2 linked regions of the Danio rerio genome follow. The protein of the gene in region 1 interacts with the protein of each later gene in a pairwise test. Links are inferred from orthologs where the notes say so. Each region holds a gene or a part of one and is shown in the gene's direction. Other genes may lie near its edges. The genes, in order: RNA-binding Raly-like protein and rbm41.

The links.
Region 2: the proteins of RNA-binding Raly-like protein (region 1) and rbm41 interact in binary tests that used the Homo sapiens proteins (3 or more experiments, as listed by UniProt). The two-hybrid records come from large-scale screens. The link is inferred for Danio rerio from reciprocal best matches to the Homo sapiens genes RALYL and RBM41.

Annotation. Positions count from the first base shown.
Region 1 is NC_133199.1:37,374,352-37,384,082, reverse strand, and holds the start of RNA-binding Raly-like protein, read left to right. Parts: upstream 1-3,416; 5' UTR 3,417-3,569; intron 3,570-4,227; 5' UTR 4,228-4,441; intron 4,442-7,332; 5' UTR 7,333-7,545; intron 7,546-9,731.
Region 2 is NC_133196.1:41,328,739-41,338,416, reverse strand, and holds the start of rbm41 (RNA-binding protein 41), read left to right. Parts: upstream 1-4,164; 5' UTR 4,165-4,205; coding exon 4,206-4,213; exon of another isoform or gene 4,214-4,233; intron 4,234-5,667; exon of another isoform or gene 5,668-5,668; coding exon 5,669-5,785; intron 5,786-6,565; coding exon 6,566-6,767; exon of another isoform or gene 6,768-6,838; coding exon of another isoform or gene 6,839-6,878; intron 6,879-8,807; coding exon of another isoform or gene 8,808-8,854; coding exon 8,855-9,059; intron 9,060-9,678. Other genes in the region: klf8 (Krueppel-like factor 8), read right to left, coding at 1,628-1,654. UniProt on the Homo sapiens protein: May bind RNA.

The DNA of each region.
Region 1 (9,731 bases):
ACCTGGCCTTTATCAGTTTGTAGCAGTAAATGAAGAGGCATTATATTGCTCATTCATTCATTCATTTTCTTCGGCTTAGTCCCTTTGCTCATCAGGGGTCGTCACAGCGGAATGAACCACCAACTTATCCAGCATACACAGCAGATGCCCTTCCAGCTGCAACCAAGTACTGGGAAACATCCATACACACTCATTCACACACATACACTACTGCCAATTGACCTATAGTGCATGTGTTTGGACTGTAAGGGAAACTTGGATGGGTCAGTTGGCATTTCTGTGTGGAGTTTGCATGTTCTCCCTGCGTTCCAGTGGGTTTCCTCCGAGTGCTCCGGTTTCCCCCACAGTCCAAAGACATGCGGTACAGGTGAATTGGGTCGGCTAAAATTGGCCATAGTGTATAAGTGTGATTGAGTGTGTATGGATGTTTTCCAGTACTTGGTTGCAGCTGGAAGGGCATCTGCTGCGTAAAACATATGCTGGATAAGTTGGCGGTTCATTCCACTGTGGATTAAGCCGAAAAGAAAATAAATGATTGAATGAATGAATGAGTTTCTTGTACTATGAAATATTCTGATTGTTCATCCCTAGTCAAACCTAGCCGTAAAGTCAGTATATCTTGCGAATACATGTAAATAAGGTTATACAAGTTTTTACCAAAAATTTTTCTTCAAATATTTAATTACGAATTGCTATGAAAGTAATATTAATTAGCTTTTTTCCCTTATTGTGGCATTAAACAACCTCTGTACTCAATGCAAACGATATCAGAAAACCCCCAGTGTGTTGTTATTCAGATAACCTGCTAAACATGTTTAAAGCTAGCATTATGCTAGCTAAGCACTAGCATTTACACTGTTTTACTTGTGTAGATAATGTTTCTGTCCTGAGGGAAGTATAAAATTTGCAGTAATATGTCAGGATTGGAGGCGGTGCAGTAGGTAGTGCTGTCACCTCACAGCAAGAAGGTCGCTGGTTCGAGCCTCGGCTCAGTTGGCGTTTCTGTGTGGAGTTTGCATGTCCTCCCTGCGTTCACGTGGGTTTCCTGCAAAGACATGCTGTACAGGAGAATTGGGTAGGCTAAATTGACCCCAGTGTATGAGTGTGAATGAGTGTGTGTGAATGTTTCCCAGGGATGGGTTGTGGCTGGAAGGGCTGTTCTTCAGGGCTGTGAATGAATGAATGTCAGGATTGGACTGAAGAGTCAGCTAGGCTGTACAGTTTTTGGAGAGTATATAGTTTTCCCAAAATGCTTTCTTCCAAATGTATATTACAAAAGAAATTGCTTTAACTGATATTGTTATGCCCGTTTAATAATCAATATGATTGTCATTTTCTCTGCAGTCTCCATGTCAGCTATCACAAGAATGTCTTAATATACAGTTTAAGTGTTTTGCAAGAAACATTAACAGGAATGTATTGCCTTAATATTAATGTTACTATTTACCAGTGTTTAATTGAGAATAGTATCAAACACACTCATTTTATTCAAAATCATGTAAGCCTGCTTAGTCAAACAGCTAACCAACTATGTGGTTTTGGATATGTTTTTATTCTGTAATGTATTAAAATGTGCATTTCTCTGGGAAACACAGATTGGCATGAGCATTTAAAACTCAATAAAGGCTATGAAATGAATGACTCTGTTATTTCTGTAACTCATTTTGTCAGATTTAATCATCTTATTGATGATATTTTACAGCAGTGTTTCCCAACCCTGTTCCTGGAGGCACACCAACAGGACATATTTTGAACATCTCCCTTATCTGACCCATTCATTTCAGGTTTTCAAGTCTCTATTAATGTTCTGAGAAGCTGATTCAGGTGTGTTTGATAGTAGGCTACACATTTTTTACTTTAAAACTTCAACAGATTGCTATTCTTTTCTAATGATATATGATGTAATAAATTTGTATTTTAAAAATTAGACTTGTTTTAAATGTTTATTGCAATTTTTTGGAAATATTTTTAGTACATCAAAAGTGTAGTTATGATGAGATCTGACTAGTTAATCCAGCAAAAAGAAATAAATAAATTAATTAATTAATAAATATTCACTAAAATGCAGTATTTAAACAGAAACTGAGGCGTATAACTGCAAAAAGGTCCACTTTTTGAGAAAAAAAGATCTCCTTTCACCAGGCTGGCTACGTGCAGTAACGTGCGTGAGCAGTTATCTAGATCAGTGGTTCTCAAAGTGGGGGTCGGGACCCCCTGGGGGGTCGCGGGACAATGACAAGGGGTCGCTTGGTGATATCCAAAACTAAAATAAATTTTATTAAACTATCAGAATTACCATATTTTATTCATAAACGACAGAATATAGTTAATAGTTGCATTCAAGAAACAACAACATAAAAAAACATTTAGCCATCAGCCTTTAATTTTAAAAGCAAAATGTAATTAAATCCATAAATGACTTTAAAAAACATTATATGGCTAATAGACTGTTGCATTTTTGTGTTGTCAATAAGCTCATGTTTATATTTGCCCAGGCCCGGATTGGCTAATCGGGAGGACCGGGAGAATTCCCGGTGGGCCGGTCCGTTTTTTGGCCGCGAGGGCCGGTGTCCCTAGCTCTAGAATCTGTTGCTCTCAGCAATCACACTTTTTAAATTTATTTATTTACTTGACCACAGCCTTTTTATTCATTATTATACCGCAACTCTTCTCTTTTGATCTATTTCAAGGATAATAAAACTCAGTTGTGTCATCATCCATAAAACAGTAGTTGTGGTCGAGCGGATAGTACGTTAGATTTAAACGCTGCGGACCTGGGTTCGATTCTCGTTAGAGTGATTTAGTGTTTTCATTTTTATTGATAAGACATATAATGATTGTTGAACATTTGAAGTTCTAAAGCAGCTGTTTTCTCAAAAAAAAAAAAAAGAAGTGATAGTGTCATTAGAAACTGATTTGGAAATATTTATTTATTTACTTATTTTAATACAGTCAGTCGTGAACTGAGGTGGGCCGGTCTGAGGCTTGAAATTCCAGAGCTGAAAAGGTGTCCCACTCCGGCCCTGTATTTGCCTATAGTTGTGTCTGCAACGTTTACATATTTACACCACCTTGAAAAATGGGGGTCGCGAGCCACTGATATGATTATTTTTGGGGTCGCGGGCTGAAAAGTTTGGGAACCCCTGATCTAGATAGATTAAACTGAACTCAGACTAGTCAGATCAAATGATCTTCAACTTGCTGTTATGGAACCAATTTAAGAGTGGAGTGGACATTTAGTTCGGCTCATTGAAGTCAGGCTTTTGACTTTAATCCCCGCTATTCTAAACGACTTTTATGAAACAGCCCCAGGTGTGTCTGATTAGGGTTCGAACTAAACTTTGCTGGACATTGGCCATCCAGGAACGAGTTTGGACACCTCTAATTTTTAAACACAGCTGACATAGTGCGAGGCTACGGTTTGCGTCACGACGCCGCAGTGAAAAAACGCACGTTATGTTTCAAATATTCGATGGCGACAAACTAACACGACAATGTTGAAGAGTAAAAAACATTGTGCACAGCGGGAAAATGACAATAAACTGAATCGGCAATGTCAACTACATGAGGTAAGTAACGGCTGGAGGTAGATAATTAATAGACTCGCCTGTATTTAAATCATTGATATATCAATTTGTTCAGTATTCCAGCACACTTCGTGTTTTTTTGCTTTGTAATGCATTGTTATCCTCCCAAACAGCTTTCAACCCTTGTGAAAAAATACTATAGTGATTTATTGTAAATACTACAGTGTGTTTGAACCACAAAAAGTAAAGTATTTTGAAGTAATCTGTTGTGGTAACGTTAATTAGCTGTGGTACTAAAACAACCAGTAACTGTTAGGCTAATATAAACAAACTATCCTGACAGTTATATTTAATACTACAATAAACCACATTTTAATGGTAGTAGAATCTACACTATTTATTACTGTTCATCATGGGGTTTAATTATAACATTCAATAAAGAGTTGTAAATAATATGTGAAGTTTACAGTATGGTTAAAATCACTAGTAAACACCAAAGTCCCTTTAAGGCATGTTTAAGTGTATTATATTTGTATACACTAAGACACTATAAATTATGATTCAAATATGTTCTAGGCATTGTTTTATGTTGTTTGAAAGAAAACTTAGTCCAGCTTTCTGTTATTGTTTTGCTTCTCTTAATCTCCACTGATGTGTGTAGTAGTGTGTTGTTATTGACCTGGTTCACTTTCTGTCACAGCTGGTTTTTGTACGGCTCTATTTCACTGTGTGAATCTAAAGCCACCATAGTCACCGAAGCAAAAATAAAGCCCTGAATCTTCACCTCGTGCTCCACTTATGGTCAGCTGGAAACTTCTAACGGACCCATTTCCACTAAACCGGGATGGAGCAGAGGAATGCCGGAGATTTCCTTGATAGATGAGGAGTTTGGGAGCTTCTCCAGCTTTTATGAGGTACCAGCTAAGACAGTATGTATCATTGCACCATTTACCAACAACAAGATTAGAGCTACATGTTAATGTAACTGATTGCCCTGCTTCAATAGTCTTCTCTGAAGGGCTTTGAGTCACTTTTGCTTGAGGAAGACTGGAGTCTGTTAAAGAAATTATTTATTAAGATATATTATTAAAAAGTACTGAACATTAAAAGTAATTCTGCTAAGAGATGAGAAGTTACCTTGAGCTGAACGAGTCAGCGACCAAAGAAAGATAGTGAGGAAGGTGAAAAATGCCATTTTGTTGTCTTGGTTTTATTTTGAGCATGTCATGAGGTTAAAGTGGTCACAGTGTTTTATAGTCAACACTACAGTTTCAATGCAAATGCACTGTTCCTATGAAGAAAAAAGACCGGAAAGATAGAAATTGGCAAATAAAATGTATGACTTCTCAAACGCTTTATATAGCGTAAATCTATATTTTAAAATTTGTATAACATTACCCCAGCATTATGTCTTAATATAAAGAATAATGTAGGAGAAGGGAAGATTTGCTACTAAAGTGCAATATGATTGAATTGGATCTATGAAAATGAACGAAATATGAAAAAAAAATGTAAATATAAATTGTATTTCGTTATTGCTATACAAAATAAATCAATGAATAAAGTTGTATGATGTAAGCATTCATTATTGTGTTTTTCTACATGGCTAACAATTTTCTGTTATTATACAACTTGTTTTTTGTCATAGTATGCAGTATACACACAATTTTAAATTAATTGATTAAAAAATATATATATTTATTAAAAGAAAGAAAATGTAATTTATTAATCAAGTTCAGTATAAAGATTCGGTAACTAGGATACAACGTTATTTCAATAATCATGAATAAAAGTAGTTTTATGCTCCGGTTAAGTATTTTATGTTAAACTTTTTTTTATTTCTTTTGAAAGTGCCATCTTTTTAAATGTATATTAGAATTTGCTATAAATAAATTAAAATGTGAGTGTTTAATAAATAAGATGTTTTTGAGTAAAATATTTGATCAGGAAGTTTTAAAAAATAATATAAAAAAAGAAATAATGTCATAAATAAAAATAGTTTTATTTATTGTTAATGCTGCTTTTAAGTGTTATTGTATATTTTGTTTTGTGTAATACATATGTATAACTTGTAATTTCTTTTGAAAGTATTGTAATTTTTATATATACAGTTGAAGTCAGAATTATTCGCCCCCCGCTTTGAATTTATTTTCTTTTAAAATATTTTTCTAATGATGTTTGTCAGAGCAAGGTCATTTTCACTGCATGTCTGATAATATTTTTTTTCTTCTGGAGAAAGTATTCTTTGTTTTGTTTCGACTAGAATAAAAGCAGTTTTTAATAATAATAAAAAAAAAACATTTTAAGGTCAATATCATTAGCCCCTTTATATTAATTTCCCCCCCGGATAGTCTACTGAATCGTTATACAAAAACTTGCCTAATTATCCAAACTTGCCTAATTAACCTAATAATTAGCCTAGTTAAGCCTTTAAATGTCACTTTAAGCTGTACAGAAATTTCTTAAAAATATCTAGTAAAATATTATTTACTGTCATCATGGCAAAGATAAAATAAATTGGTTATTTAAGATAAAAACGATCATGTTTAGAAATGTGTTGAAATAAATCTTCTCTTCGTTTGATAGAAATTGTGGAAAAACATTGGGCTAATAATTCAGGGGTATAATAATTAAAATAAGGGGTATAAAAAAAAAAAAAAAAAAAAAAAAAAAATATATATATATATATATATATATATATATATATATATATATATATATATATATATATATACATATAAAAAACTAAAAATGTGAGTGTTTAATAAATAAGATGTTTTAGAGTAAAATATTGTATCAGTAGAAACTCCTCAATAACGTTTATTTTAATTTTCATAAATAAAAGTAGTTTTATTAATTATCAGTGCTGCTGTTTAGTATTAATATATAATTTAAGTAAAACGTTTTATCTGTTTTGAAAGAATAATCTTGTTGATGTATATTTAAAGTTGCTCTAAATAAAATAACAATTTGAGTGTTTAATAAAATAGAGGTTTTAAATTTAGAGTAAAAATGTTTTATCAGGAGGAACAGCTCATTAATAAAGCATACAAAACCAAATAAATATTTTAGCTAGTTGCCAGAGACATATTTTCATTTCATTTAGTCTGCTTTAAAACTCTGACTGATTTTTATTTTTTATTACAAAACGTAAACAGTAAATAAATACATGAACAAACTATTAATAAAAACTACACAACAGCAATTGCATTTTCTGAGAGTAAAATAATACTTTATATGATACATGAAACTTATTTTACACACATTCATTATAAACCTTGACAGATAATCCTGATTCTAAATGCACTTAATTTTATTTTAATATAACATTTACATAACAATTAACAATAGAAAAGATACAATATACAAACAATACATAAAGTAAAATAATTAAAGATAACTAAGTAATTAATAAAATAATACTAAGAAAATGAAATACAGATAAATACTGACATTCAGTTTTAATCTTAATTAGCCTAATCCTCTTTAATTTAACTATTACCTGTAGCATTTATGTTTTAAAGATAATCTATGAAAAGGTTGCCAGATTTTATAGAATTTTTCTTTCTTTTTAAAGGAGAATCTGATTGATTTTCTCCAGTTTCATATGTCTGATTACATCCCTCATTAGATGTATATATGTAGGAGCAATGTTCTGTTTCCAGTTTAATAATTTTAACCTTTGTGCTAGTAGACTGATGACTGGAACTACATTCTGTTCTTTACTCTAGTTTTTCTGTAATTTTTCTGTTGATATTTTTGGGCAGCTCCATAACCTGCATTTTTCTGCTCAATGCCTGTGTAGAGAACATGCCAGCAGTGACCGAGGGCTGCAGAAAGTGAGCTGAATAATCTGTTCATCCGCAAAACCAGCCAGAAGCTCTTCAAATAATGCAGGAGAATTGAATGTCCGCAGAGTAAACCATGACAAAATCCCACAAAGCCAAGAAGTCCTGATGCTTCCCATTGGTCCTGCTCTCTCTGGGGAAATGAAGCCGTATCTGAGTCCCGCTGGCCGGTATGTAGGAGTCACATGCATCATTTATTTATGAAAGTAAAAATTGCTCTCCCTTTGGGCCAGTGAACATCTGCTGCTGCTTCTGCTCTCTTCTCTGATAAAAACAGAATCACCTGCTCATGCAAATATCACTTTCACTTCTGGTTTTTATTTTCTGGTTATCATGATATTGATGAAACGTTGGATATGTGTATATTTTTAGACTTTTAATAGATAGTTGTTTTCATAATTTTTATTGGATTAAGTAGTTGCATATATATATGTGTGTGTGTGTGTGTGTGTGTGTGTGTGTGTGTGTGTGTGTGTGTGTATATATTTATATATATATATATATATATATGTATGTATGTATGTATGTATGTATGTATGTATGTATGTATATATTATTTTTATTGAGATGTAATAAAAAATGACAATATAACATCGCTATCATATTTACATCTTTGTTTTAAATTTATAGGACAAAAACAACAGCAATAATAATAAAAAACATACAAAACTTAAAAAAGAGGGTCAAAAGAAGGGAGGGCACAGGTTGTTTAAATTCGTAACAAATTATTCTAGAAAAAATAGGTAGAAATTGTTGGTCATCAGTAGATCATCAATATGACAACGGCTTGTTTAAATACGTTTTTGGAAAAAGGGAGACTATGTAGATCAGTTTATTTTGTCGTTTCCTGTTTCATTTAATAAATTGCTGAAATTTGAGCAATGCAGTGGCAAAATAGGTAGTGCTGTCGCCTCACAGCAAGAAGGTCGCTGATTTAGGCATCGGCTGGGTCAGTTGGCATTTCTGTAAGGAGTTTGCATGTTCTTCCTGCGTTGCATGGGTTTCCTCTGGGTGCTCCAGTTTCCCCTACAGTCCAAAGACATGTGGTATAGGTGAATTGGGTAGGCTTACTTGTCCGTAGTGAATAAGTGTGTATAGATGTTTCCCAGAGATGGGTTATAGCTGAAAGGGCATCTGCTGCATAAAACATATGCAGGACAAGTTGGCGGTTCATTCTGCTGTGGTGACCCCAGATTAATAAAGGGACGAAGCTGAAAAGAAAATGAATGAATTTGAAATAAGAAATAAAACGGGTGTTCATGTTTTCTCAAAAAAACTGTGAGTTTGCCTTTTAACATGTATGAAATCTTTTCTATTGTTAAACAGAAGGATGTATTATGATCCACTGTACAATAAATGGCCTTTCCATTTTCCTTTAGTACAAAGCTATTAGGTGCTCTGCTTGGAGTATACTTGCATCGATAAGTTTACGAGTGCTCCTGTGGCAATCAATATTTTCACAAGTGATTTCCAAAATAAACATTTCTGGTTTCATGGGCAGTTTTATAGATACCATAATATCTTTGATATATTTTATTTGACCTGAAAATAAAAAATTTGTTTTATTTATTTGACTGAAGTACCAATTTACATTTCCAAACATCCTTCATTTATTTTCTTCATCAGGGTCACCATAGTGGAATGAACCGCCAACTTATCCAGCATATGATGCATTTTTGGCAGCAACCCAGTATTGGGAAACACCCATACACTCTCTCTTACACGCATACATTATGGCCAATTACGTTTATTTAATTCGCCTATAGCATATGTCTGTGACTATGGGGAAAACCGGAGCACCCAGAGGAAACCCACGCCAACACGGGGAGAACATGCAAACTCCACACAGAAGTGCCAACTGTCCCAGCTGGGACTTGAACCAACAACCTTCTTGCTGAGAGGTGACAGTGCTAACCAATAAGCCAATATGTTGCTCTTTCCAGACATTACTTTCCCATGTCATTAATTGTGATTCAACAGTGATGTTATTGTCTGACAACAGCCAGTGCTCCACACAGAATACAGAGAAGAAACAGAATAAACTGAGACAACTAAATCCAGAAGAACTTTGGCAACATCTCAGAGATGTTAAAAAAAAAAAAAACTACCTGCACTTGTGTAAAAATCCTGTAAAATGAGGCAAAATGCTTTCAAAAATTATGCATATATACCTTTTATTTATCAGTTAACTGATATTAACTGCAATAAATCAACATTTGGTATGACCACACTTTGCCTTTAAAACTTTTAGTACACTTACCCATTGGTTTTCAGGTAGCTTTGTGGGTTGGTCAATATTGTGAAATAAGATTATTCCAAATACATACCATTTTGTGGGATGTAAACAATAACAATA
Region 2 (9,678 bases), on another chromosome or scaffold:
TTGCATAATTAGCTCTTTATTAACACCATGGACTAATGTTTTGTTTGTAACATTAGCATTTATTATTACAATATTATAATAGCAATTGTGATATAATAAACAATTAACTTTTTCACGTTGTTGACAAAATACAGTTTTAAATGTATTAAATTAATTAATTAATTATTTTTTGACTGCGATTTAATTTGCATGTATTCTCCAAAGCAATGAATTGATTGTTTTCCATATGCTACATTCTATCCCTTTTCTGACTACTCACTGTATTTATATGAAATAGTTACAATACTGGTCTGTGGATCGTCAATTGTAAATTAAATTTTTAGAAATAATCAATAGCGTTTGTGATATCAAAACTTTTATCGAAACAAAAATAACAGTTAGTCAGTTTATTTCTATTAAAATCATTTGATTAGCCTATAATAACATGATTATTTGATTAACATGACAAGAAATTAGCTTACCATTTAAACAATATGGTACTACACTGTGTAACATTGAAAACAGAAAAGCCACAAAAACACTTATGAAGTATTATGTAAATATAATTTAAATAATAAAATGTTTTTCTTATTATTATCTTAGCTATTTATTTATTTTTACCCCTAGCATCTATTTATACTTTGATAGTATTGTTAATATAATATTTTGTTTTATTTGTTCTTAATTGTTGTGAGATGTAGATGTTTGTATTAAGTTTGTACATATTTACAATAAATTAAAAATGATTATTTGATTAACATGCTTGATAAACGTCAACATAGATGTTTTTTCCAATTTGTAAATGCCAGAGCAAGTACATTTCAGAACAAGATAAGTGATAGTCAAATTTGTGCTAAAATGTTTTTAATTAATGTAATGTATGACCCTGCAGATACATTCAAGGGTACTACAGGAGGAGACGTGTCAATATGATGACCCTGACGTTCCAATACATGTGTATGTGCAACAAAAACAAACAAACAAACAAACAAACCACTTACACTAATGCACCCCCTCCCTTTCTCACTTGACATCATGGGATGTTCATGACAGTTTTATGTATAACTTACAGTCTACTGCTGTAACCTGCGTGGTATTAGCTGGAGCCTGACATTATTAGCCAAAACACTGACATCTCTTTATAACAGCGAAAGCCACGGAATACAAAACACAGAACTGAGAGGACCAACAAGCATAACAGAATGTCCTCATCACCCCATAAGAATAAAGGCTGCGGCCCCTTTAAGAAAGCAGCTAAGATGGTGTCTCTCCGGCGAGCTGCATTCGGCGCGCTTCCTTCCTGCCTTCACCGCTTTAAAACGGCACTGCAGACCCTCGACGGCTCTGACAGACGAGTCGCTCAATCTCTCCCTATCTGACTTTAACACTTTGCACAGCTGTTTTAAATGCGCCCGAGTCAACGTGTCAGGTTCGCGGATAAGTTAAGCACGGGCTCAGAGGCGCATGCACGGGAATCGCTCAGATGATATTATCGGCTCATTACGGTTAACGGCAGAGCAAACCGAAACCGGGTAACTGCTCACAGATGAGGAACTCCGGAGGAGTCCTGCAGAACAGAAAGCGAACAACCACAGCCGGCCAAAGCTATGCTGCAAATGTGTCGATTGCAAACGATAAACAGACTTACTTTTTTGTTCCGAGTCTCCGTGTGCATCTCGGTATCTAAGCGGCGGTGAAGGGGTGGAGTGGAGGGGGGGTCGGTCGGCTCGGGCGGGGTGAGATTTGAATAACAGTCAGTATTATCCGCCTCAGTATTAGAGAAGAAATGTGCGCTCGTTGGCTCGGAGGTTCACAGAAATCATATCCCTGGCGTCGAGAAACAAGCCCTCTTTCCGTCGCCCCGTTCGTCTTTCGGTGTGTGTTTGTTGCCGTGTTTCAGGGTTGGGCTCGAGCTGTGAGTCTCTCCTCCGCCTCTCCCTGCTGCTGACCCCACCCTGCGTCCCCACCCCTTCACTGTGTCAATCACAGCCGCTGCAAGTGTGTGTGTGTGTGTGTGTGTGTGTCAGCGCGCCACCACAATAATAGAAGTTCAGAAACATCATCATCATCACTTTGTCACCTCGCCTAATGACGTCAAGTTGCACCGGATGTTCGAAGTTGCTCGACTTTTTTTGGTCCTTTTTTGCATGTGTTACAGAGGTGATGATGCCTTATATGAGAATGACTAGTTTTTGGAGATAAAATTACCCCTAATTTGAGCAAAAGCAGACAAAAAAGACGTATTTTATTTATTGTTCTTAGTGTGTTTGTTCATATTGCATTATTCAGCATTTGTAGTACAGTTTTATATATATATATATATATATATATATATATATATATATATATATATATATATATATATATATATATATATATATATATTGCTGCTTGTTCGAACTACGTATTTAAAATGAGCTAAAACAACACAATTTTTGAGATTTTATGTGGGACAACTTGATCGTTTTATGTTCAATCCACTTAAATGTTTAGTTGACTTAATCTATTTGTGTTGGGATAACCTGAATGAATAGTGTGGAACCCTGTATCGGAAATAAATTGGATTTCGTAGGTATGTGTTTGGGTAAAAATATCGTTTTTTTTTTGTTTTTTTTTTGGAGCATTTTCCCCCATAAAATGGCAATTCATCTTTTTTTTGTTTTTTTTTTTGTTACTGAGAGGCAGGGTTATTCTACCTAATATATATATATATATATATATATATATATATATATATATATATATATATATATATATATATATATATATATATATATATATATTTACTTTTAAGTAGCAAAAAACATCAATGTGTTAACATAAATAGTCTATAAACATGTCTGAATATATCCCTTTTGTTATTTTGACCAAGTGGCGTTCGTTGTGTTTGTGTAAAAAAAACTTTTGTTTTGTTCTGCAAACTGATGGCATTTATTCCCAAATAAAAGTACAAATACTGTTAGAACATAATCATACATTTTAACAAATAACACTTTTATTTTGACTAGTTTAAAGTGTTTACTGAATGAAGCAATAATTAAAATGAAACATGGAAAACCTTGAGAAAAAATAGAAACAAAATTAAATAGCTGTTTATTACATAAACTGTCCAAATCACAGGGCAGCAACTCAATGCGTTAAGGCACGTGGTCAAGACAATCTGCAGAAGTTCAAACTGAGCATCTGAAGACGAAGAAAGATGAATAAAGAGACTTTGAGGGCATTGTTGTTAATGCAGGATGAGTATTTCAAAAACTGCTGGTATATAAAATATATATTTCACATAGAAATATGTCTTCAGTTTATAGAGAATAGTCGAGAAGAGTTTGGTGAGTGGCAGCAAAACTTTTCAGCTGATAGGAAGGCAAGGATTCACCAACAGTACGCAAGTTACAATGTAGCATATTGCAATGTAAAGGGTTACTATACAAACTACGCAGTAAATATATTTGTCGCACCATTACGGCTTACTTACAAAGCCAACTTTCAGCAATCATACCCTGAAGATTGGATGGTTGACTTATCCGACATTCAGGTGGAGGGTCATGAATGTATACAGTTATAATTTAGGATAAAGGCTTGAATGAATCTGCTTCTATAGACTGTGATGTTCAGTTGTTCTGAAACACATTTCCCATGGTCTTTTCTTTCCACTTAACTGGAAGTATTTGTGTAACGGGAAATATGAAGCTGGGACATATACGCGTTTATTTTCACCAGGACTGTAAGGGCTATAAATGAGTGATCATGTTAATATTTTTGTGGCTGCAATGTCAATATCACAACAGCTGCCATCATAGTGCTCGCTTTCTGAATCAACGCAAGATTTTACACTGTTTTTTGTGTTTGCTTGTTTTTGCTTTTTTGAGTAATAAACAAAAACAAATCCCTTTTAAATAAATTGGTTTAGTAATGGTTTCCTTTTGTTGGATAAACTGTGTAAATTGAAAGTACACAAATAAAAATCAATTAGTCCTAAACTCGTTTTTTTATTTTATTTATTTATTAATTAAACTGTTTAGCACATTTTAATAGTTTAGTTTAGTTCAATACATTTGAATAAAAGAAGGATGAAAATACTGTTAAGGTTTTTTTTTTTTTTTACAAAGATAGGCATTTGCAGAGCACCGCGAATGAGAGTCTTTGAGTTAAAACTACATTTCCCAAAATCCTCTCCGCCACAGCTTCTTTCCTGTCGGAACGGGAAATAGAGGGAAAGTGTAAACATGAAGCGGTAAGGAAGAGGACTAAACGGTATTTTTTGTTTTTAGTTTCGGTCTGAAGCCAGTAACAAAACTTGTCAAACCAAAACATTGACTTTCAATGAACTCTGATTTGAAAAATCCCATCACTAAGGTCTAGTCGATTACAGCCGTTAAGACTTATTGATGATGATAACACACATTGGTCGATAGGTTGAGTGGTAGTTAATTAAACGTACGACACGTTTTAATGTTGATCATAAATCATTGTTTTATTTAGTTTATCGTTATTGTATATCTTTTTTTGACCTGAGTGACGATGTAACCTCTACTTGCTGGCTTGTCTTGTCTTGTGTTCTGAATGTGAGAAGTTTGTGTAACAGTTAAACATTTTAATTTGTTGTAATGAAAGGAACGTATAACTATTCTTTCATATTTATTTAACTATTTTTATTAAATGATTTGACACATACTTTGGCCCAAATTGACCTAAAAATTACAATAGGGATAAAATATGTGAATAATGTAATAATCCGTAGTTGGTATAATGAAGTATGTTTATTCGTTTACACAAAAAAAGATCAATTAGAAAGCGACACGGTGGCTCAGTGCTTAGCACTGTCGCCACACAGCAAGAAGGTCGCTGGTTCCAGTTCCGACCTGGTCAGTCGCATTTCTGTGTGGAGTTTGCATGTTCTCCTCAAGTTTGCGTTGTTTTCTTCCGGGTGCTTCAGTTTCCCTCAGAGTCCAAATATATACGCCATAGTTGAATTGAATAAGCTAAATTGTCCGTAGTGTGTGTGTGTGTGTGAGAGAGAGAGAATGAGGTGTATAGGTGTTTCCCAGTACTGGGTTGCAGCTGGAATGGCAGTAAAATATACTGCATAAGTTGGCGGTTTATTCCGCTGTGGCAACCCCTGATGATTAAAGAGACTAAGACACAGGAATGTGATGAAATTAGCAAAATAGGAAGTGATCGTAATAAGTAATTAGATTTCTAATTTAAAAAAACAATGCAGATTTATTTTGACATTCTCATTAAATGACATACTATGCAGTTTTTATTTAATATTTATGTTTTAATAAGTTTAATTTTGGCTGTTTGCAGTATTATCTGCCAATTTTGAAAACTATCATAACAATGTAAAATGAACATAACTTTTTATCAGTGACAGCAAACAGAATAGATTGTTTTATCTTGAATTTGTTATATTTAATTAAATAAGTTTATTTAGCATTCCGTTTTTTTTTTCAACTGTTCATACAATATACTTCATGAACACTGGAGTGCAATAATTGGAGTAAGAGGAAAATTGTAACGCTAAACCATTAAAAGTGTAATTAAAATAAATATAGTTTAATTTGTCTCCTAGACTCACTGATGTGCTGTCTTTATGCTTAAAAAATATTTAGAATTATGAACATAAAACAAGCATTTGGGCTGAGGAGTTTAAAGAACTCAAAAATGATTTTGTAATTATTTATAGGGTTACTCGCCATGCCTGTGATGATGTGCCCATCCCTGAAGAACAGGAGACAGAAGGCCAGAGACAACTGCACAATCTGCTGCTGCAACAACTGGACACAGATGTTGACATTGACCGGTTAGTTCCTGATAAACTGGGCCAGACAAAATCTGTTGACTTTTTTTTTACTTTTGCTATTTCAGTAGAGAATTTTGTAAAAAAATAAATAAAAATCTGTCACTTTTAATTCGACTTTACTTGCAAATTAGGTAGATTTCACATTAATTTTGAGTTTTAACATTTTTTAATAAATTCAGTGGATTTCCAGGTCTGGCTGGAGCACATTTAGCTTAGCTTAGCATAAATCATTAAGTCAGATTAGACCATTAGCATCTTTTTTTTTTTTGCATTTTTGATTGAGATGCTAATGGTCTAACCTGGTATGATTTATGCTAAGCTAAGCTAAGCTAAAAGTGCTCCCAACAGACATGGCAATCGGCTGATTGGATAAAAAATGGTAAAACTCAACTGTTTAACTGTAGGGGACTTGCTTAGGGGTAAAATGAGCTTATTTTCAAAAATAGTTTAGTGTTCCTTTAAGGTTAACATGCCAGGATAATATACATTTACAAGCTTTTGCTTCAAAATTACCATTTCAAATCCTGGGTGTTGAAAATAGACAACAGAAAAAATGTAAAGTTTGTTAAACTACTATCAAGCTATCAAATATGGCAGAGGGAGTATCTCAGATTGTTGAGATACTCCCTCTGCAATCTTGTCCTCATATTTGCTATTAACTTTCTGTAAAAAGAAATTCAAGCTAAAACATTTTAATATTATTCAAAGCACAACATTTGCCTGTTTTTTCTGTTCATTATAGGTCATGGACATTAATATTCACCTGTTTATTTGTCATAGGTGTGTGGCTAAGAAGAAATGCTTTGCTCCAGCTGCGGTGTACAAGCCGTTTGGGGAACAGGCCGCTGGTGTGAGGAGTCTGTCTCAGTTTCAGGCCCTGCAGGACGGAGATCAGGAGCTGGCGGCTCTCAGAGAACTGGGCCTAACTGATGCTGAAATACTGCTGTGGAGGAGCAGGGAGCAGCCGGAGAGCTCCCTCAAGGTCTGCTTTAGCTATTACCCTTATCATGAAGTGTCCTAAACAGAGGGATTTTACATTTCCAGAAATCTGACATGAAGAATGGTAGCTGTTGGTCAGAGAATGATTCAGACAGTGTTAGTTTAGTATCATTGTAACATTATTTTGGTATCATTATCATCAGTTTTTAATTACAGAAATATTATTATCTTATGTTTTCTTTTTAATCCTATATTTTTATTAATTTAGCTGCTTTTTAAAATTATTTTCTAAATTAATCATTTATTATTTATTTTTATTTATATATATATATATTTTATATTTTTATTTTATATTCATAAATATAAAAAATGATTCATTTATTTAATTATTTCTAAATAAAAATATTTAAAATTTATATATATTTTTTGTTAATATTAAAAAAAATATCTATATGATTTTAAAAAAATTGTATTTAATTTTGAAATAAAATGTATTTTTTTAATGTTCATTTGTTTCAGTGAATATCTATTTTGTTTTAAGGAACATGAGGGGCATTTATTAATACACACAATGTTTTTAACCTGTTATGTTAGTTTTGGGTGACTGAAAATACAAACTTTTGAAAAACAAAATAATGAAAAAGTTTAAATGGAAAGTTTAATTGTAATTTTTAGTACTTTTGCTGTGTTTTGTCATATTTATTTATAATTTATAACCAAAAAAAGAGCAATATTTTGTTGGCAGTTACATTAAATTGTTATTTTATTTTTTAGCTGACATTTATGCTTTTTCAAGTTAAATAGAGTTATAATAGCATTAGGAGTCTTAACACAACACTGTTGTGAAATTGAAACAGAAAAAAAAAAAATTTCATTTACACCACCACAGCATTATGGATCCTGAAAATGCAAACTTCAAAAAAAAAAAAAAGAAAAGAAAATATTTTGTAGTGATGGTTTAATTATAGGTGCATGTTATACATTTAAAATCAGAATTATTAAAACCCCTTTGTGTTTTACTTATTAATTTATTTATTTCATTTTTAAATATTTCCCAAATGATGTTTAACAGAGCAAGGACATTTTCACAGTATGTCTGATAGTATTTTTTCTTTTGGAGAAAGTGTTATTTGTTTTAGAACTGCTAAAATAAAAGCAGTTTTTAACATTTTGAAGATAAAAAAACAAAAAATGGCAAAAGATGGCAAAGATAAAATAAATCAGTTATCAGAAATGAGTTATTAAAACTATTATGTTTAAAAATGTGTTGAAAAAAATATCTCGGTTAAACAGGAATTGAGGAAAAAAACAACTCGGTTAAACAGGAAGGGCTAATAATTCTGACTTCAACTGTATCCAGGTTTAACTTTATAATGAAGAGTAGGGCTGTGAGATTATTTTGGAATTGTATCAATGCATGCTCCTGACTGATACTTCTCTCACAGTGTGCTATTTGAAGCAATCATAACGCAGCAGGACTAGAACAGGAGCATTAGAACAGGAGACTGAGCTTAATGACAAGGTTTGAGTTTGACGGCACTTTATGGCGTAGAGACAATTTGTTACACATTTACTAGGTGATTTTTATTATTTTTTGTCTTATTTATGTTTTTAAGACATGTTACAGGACTTAAAAAACTTAAAAAATTTTATGATTATTATAAAATTATTTCCTTTGGAAATATCTTTCATAGTCACACTGTAAATCGCAGAATTCTCAGTGATGCAATGTCTGACACAATGCACTTAATTGAGCCAGTCACGTCACTGTGAGAAGTAGGATTAGGCGAGTCCATTAAAAAGCACTGCATCCAGACCACTCTCGAAAATGCAGACTTTTTGAAAACATTTTCAAAGTGAATGTTTTTGCAAAACTATTCAATCATTATCTCTGAAGCAACACACAAGTTCTTTACAACCAAATCAACAATGTTCAGATTACAGTAGCGCATGTGTTTGTAGGTTGTATGCAGGCTGTTTGCAGATCCATCTGAAAGTGGAACATTTTAAAAACATTGTCATTTATTTGTGAAGCCCGAAAGAAATATTCAGCTATTTAGTTCATCATTGCTTAAACTCCTAGTTTTCTTTAACTTTAATAACTTGGACCCGCTTTCTTGTTTTTCTCAGGACAGAGGGGTTTGTGTGGCCCCTGAGGCGAGGAATGAGCGTCTGCAGGCCATCCGGGATAAAATGGCAGCTCATGCGGAGCTGCTGTCCCGACCCCAGCGCTTCTCAAGCAGTCGAGCGCTGTCCCGCAGAGAGATGGAAATCGAGAAAGCTCTTTTTCAAGGCAGCGACCGCTCCAGCTTCCTCACTGCCCTTTACCATCAAGGTGAAACACACTATAGTAATGCCAAGTAGCTTTACTTTTACAGTGTTCTCTACTAATATTGACAAAAATGAGCTGAAAAAACTGTTCGTTAACCTTTTAATGTTTAGCTCAAAAATATTAACAAAAAAGTCTGTTCATTTTATGGCTGCACGATGCTGAAAAAATAGGGATGTTGTTGAATATTGTGAAAATTATATTTATTTCAATATAACATTTCCCTATAAAAATGTTAATTTTATAAGTTTTTATATCCTTTATTGAATAATATAAAAAAAAAAACAGGTAAAAGATATTCTTCAGCTCTAGCTATTTCTGTTTCAGACTAAAACAAATTGTGTCAAGGTCCAAACATTTAGTCATTTACTTCCTATGAATGAGTGAAAACATTGGCAGATATTCTGACTAGGGTTGGGTACCAAAACTCGGTACCTTTGGAACCGGTATGCACCGGGTCAAGTCAGCATATGAATTTCGGTGCCTAATTTCGGTGCTGGAACAAGAACTTAAAGCAGGTCGCGCACCGGAAGCGCCGCTTGGCGACGCGCAGCGCCATGCATTTTAGAATCCGCAAGTCAGCGGCTGTCCACGGCATCCAGCCACGACTCTTGACTGTTCTTAT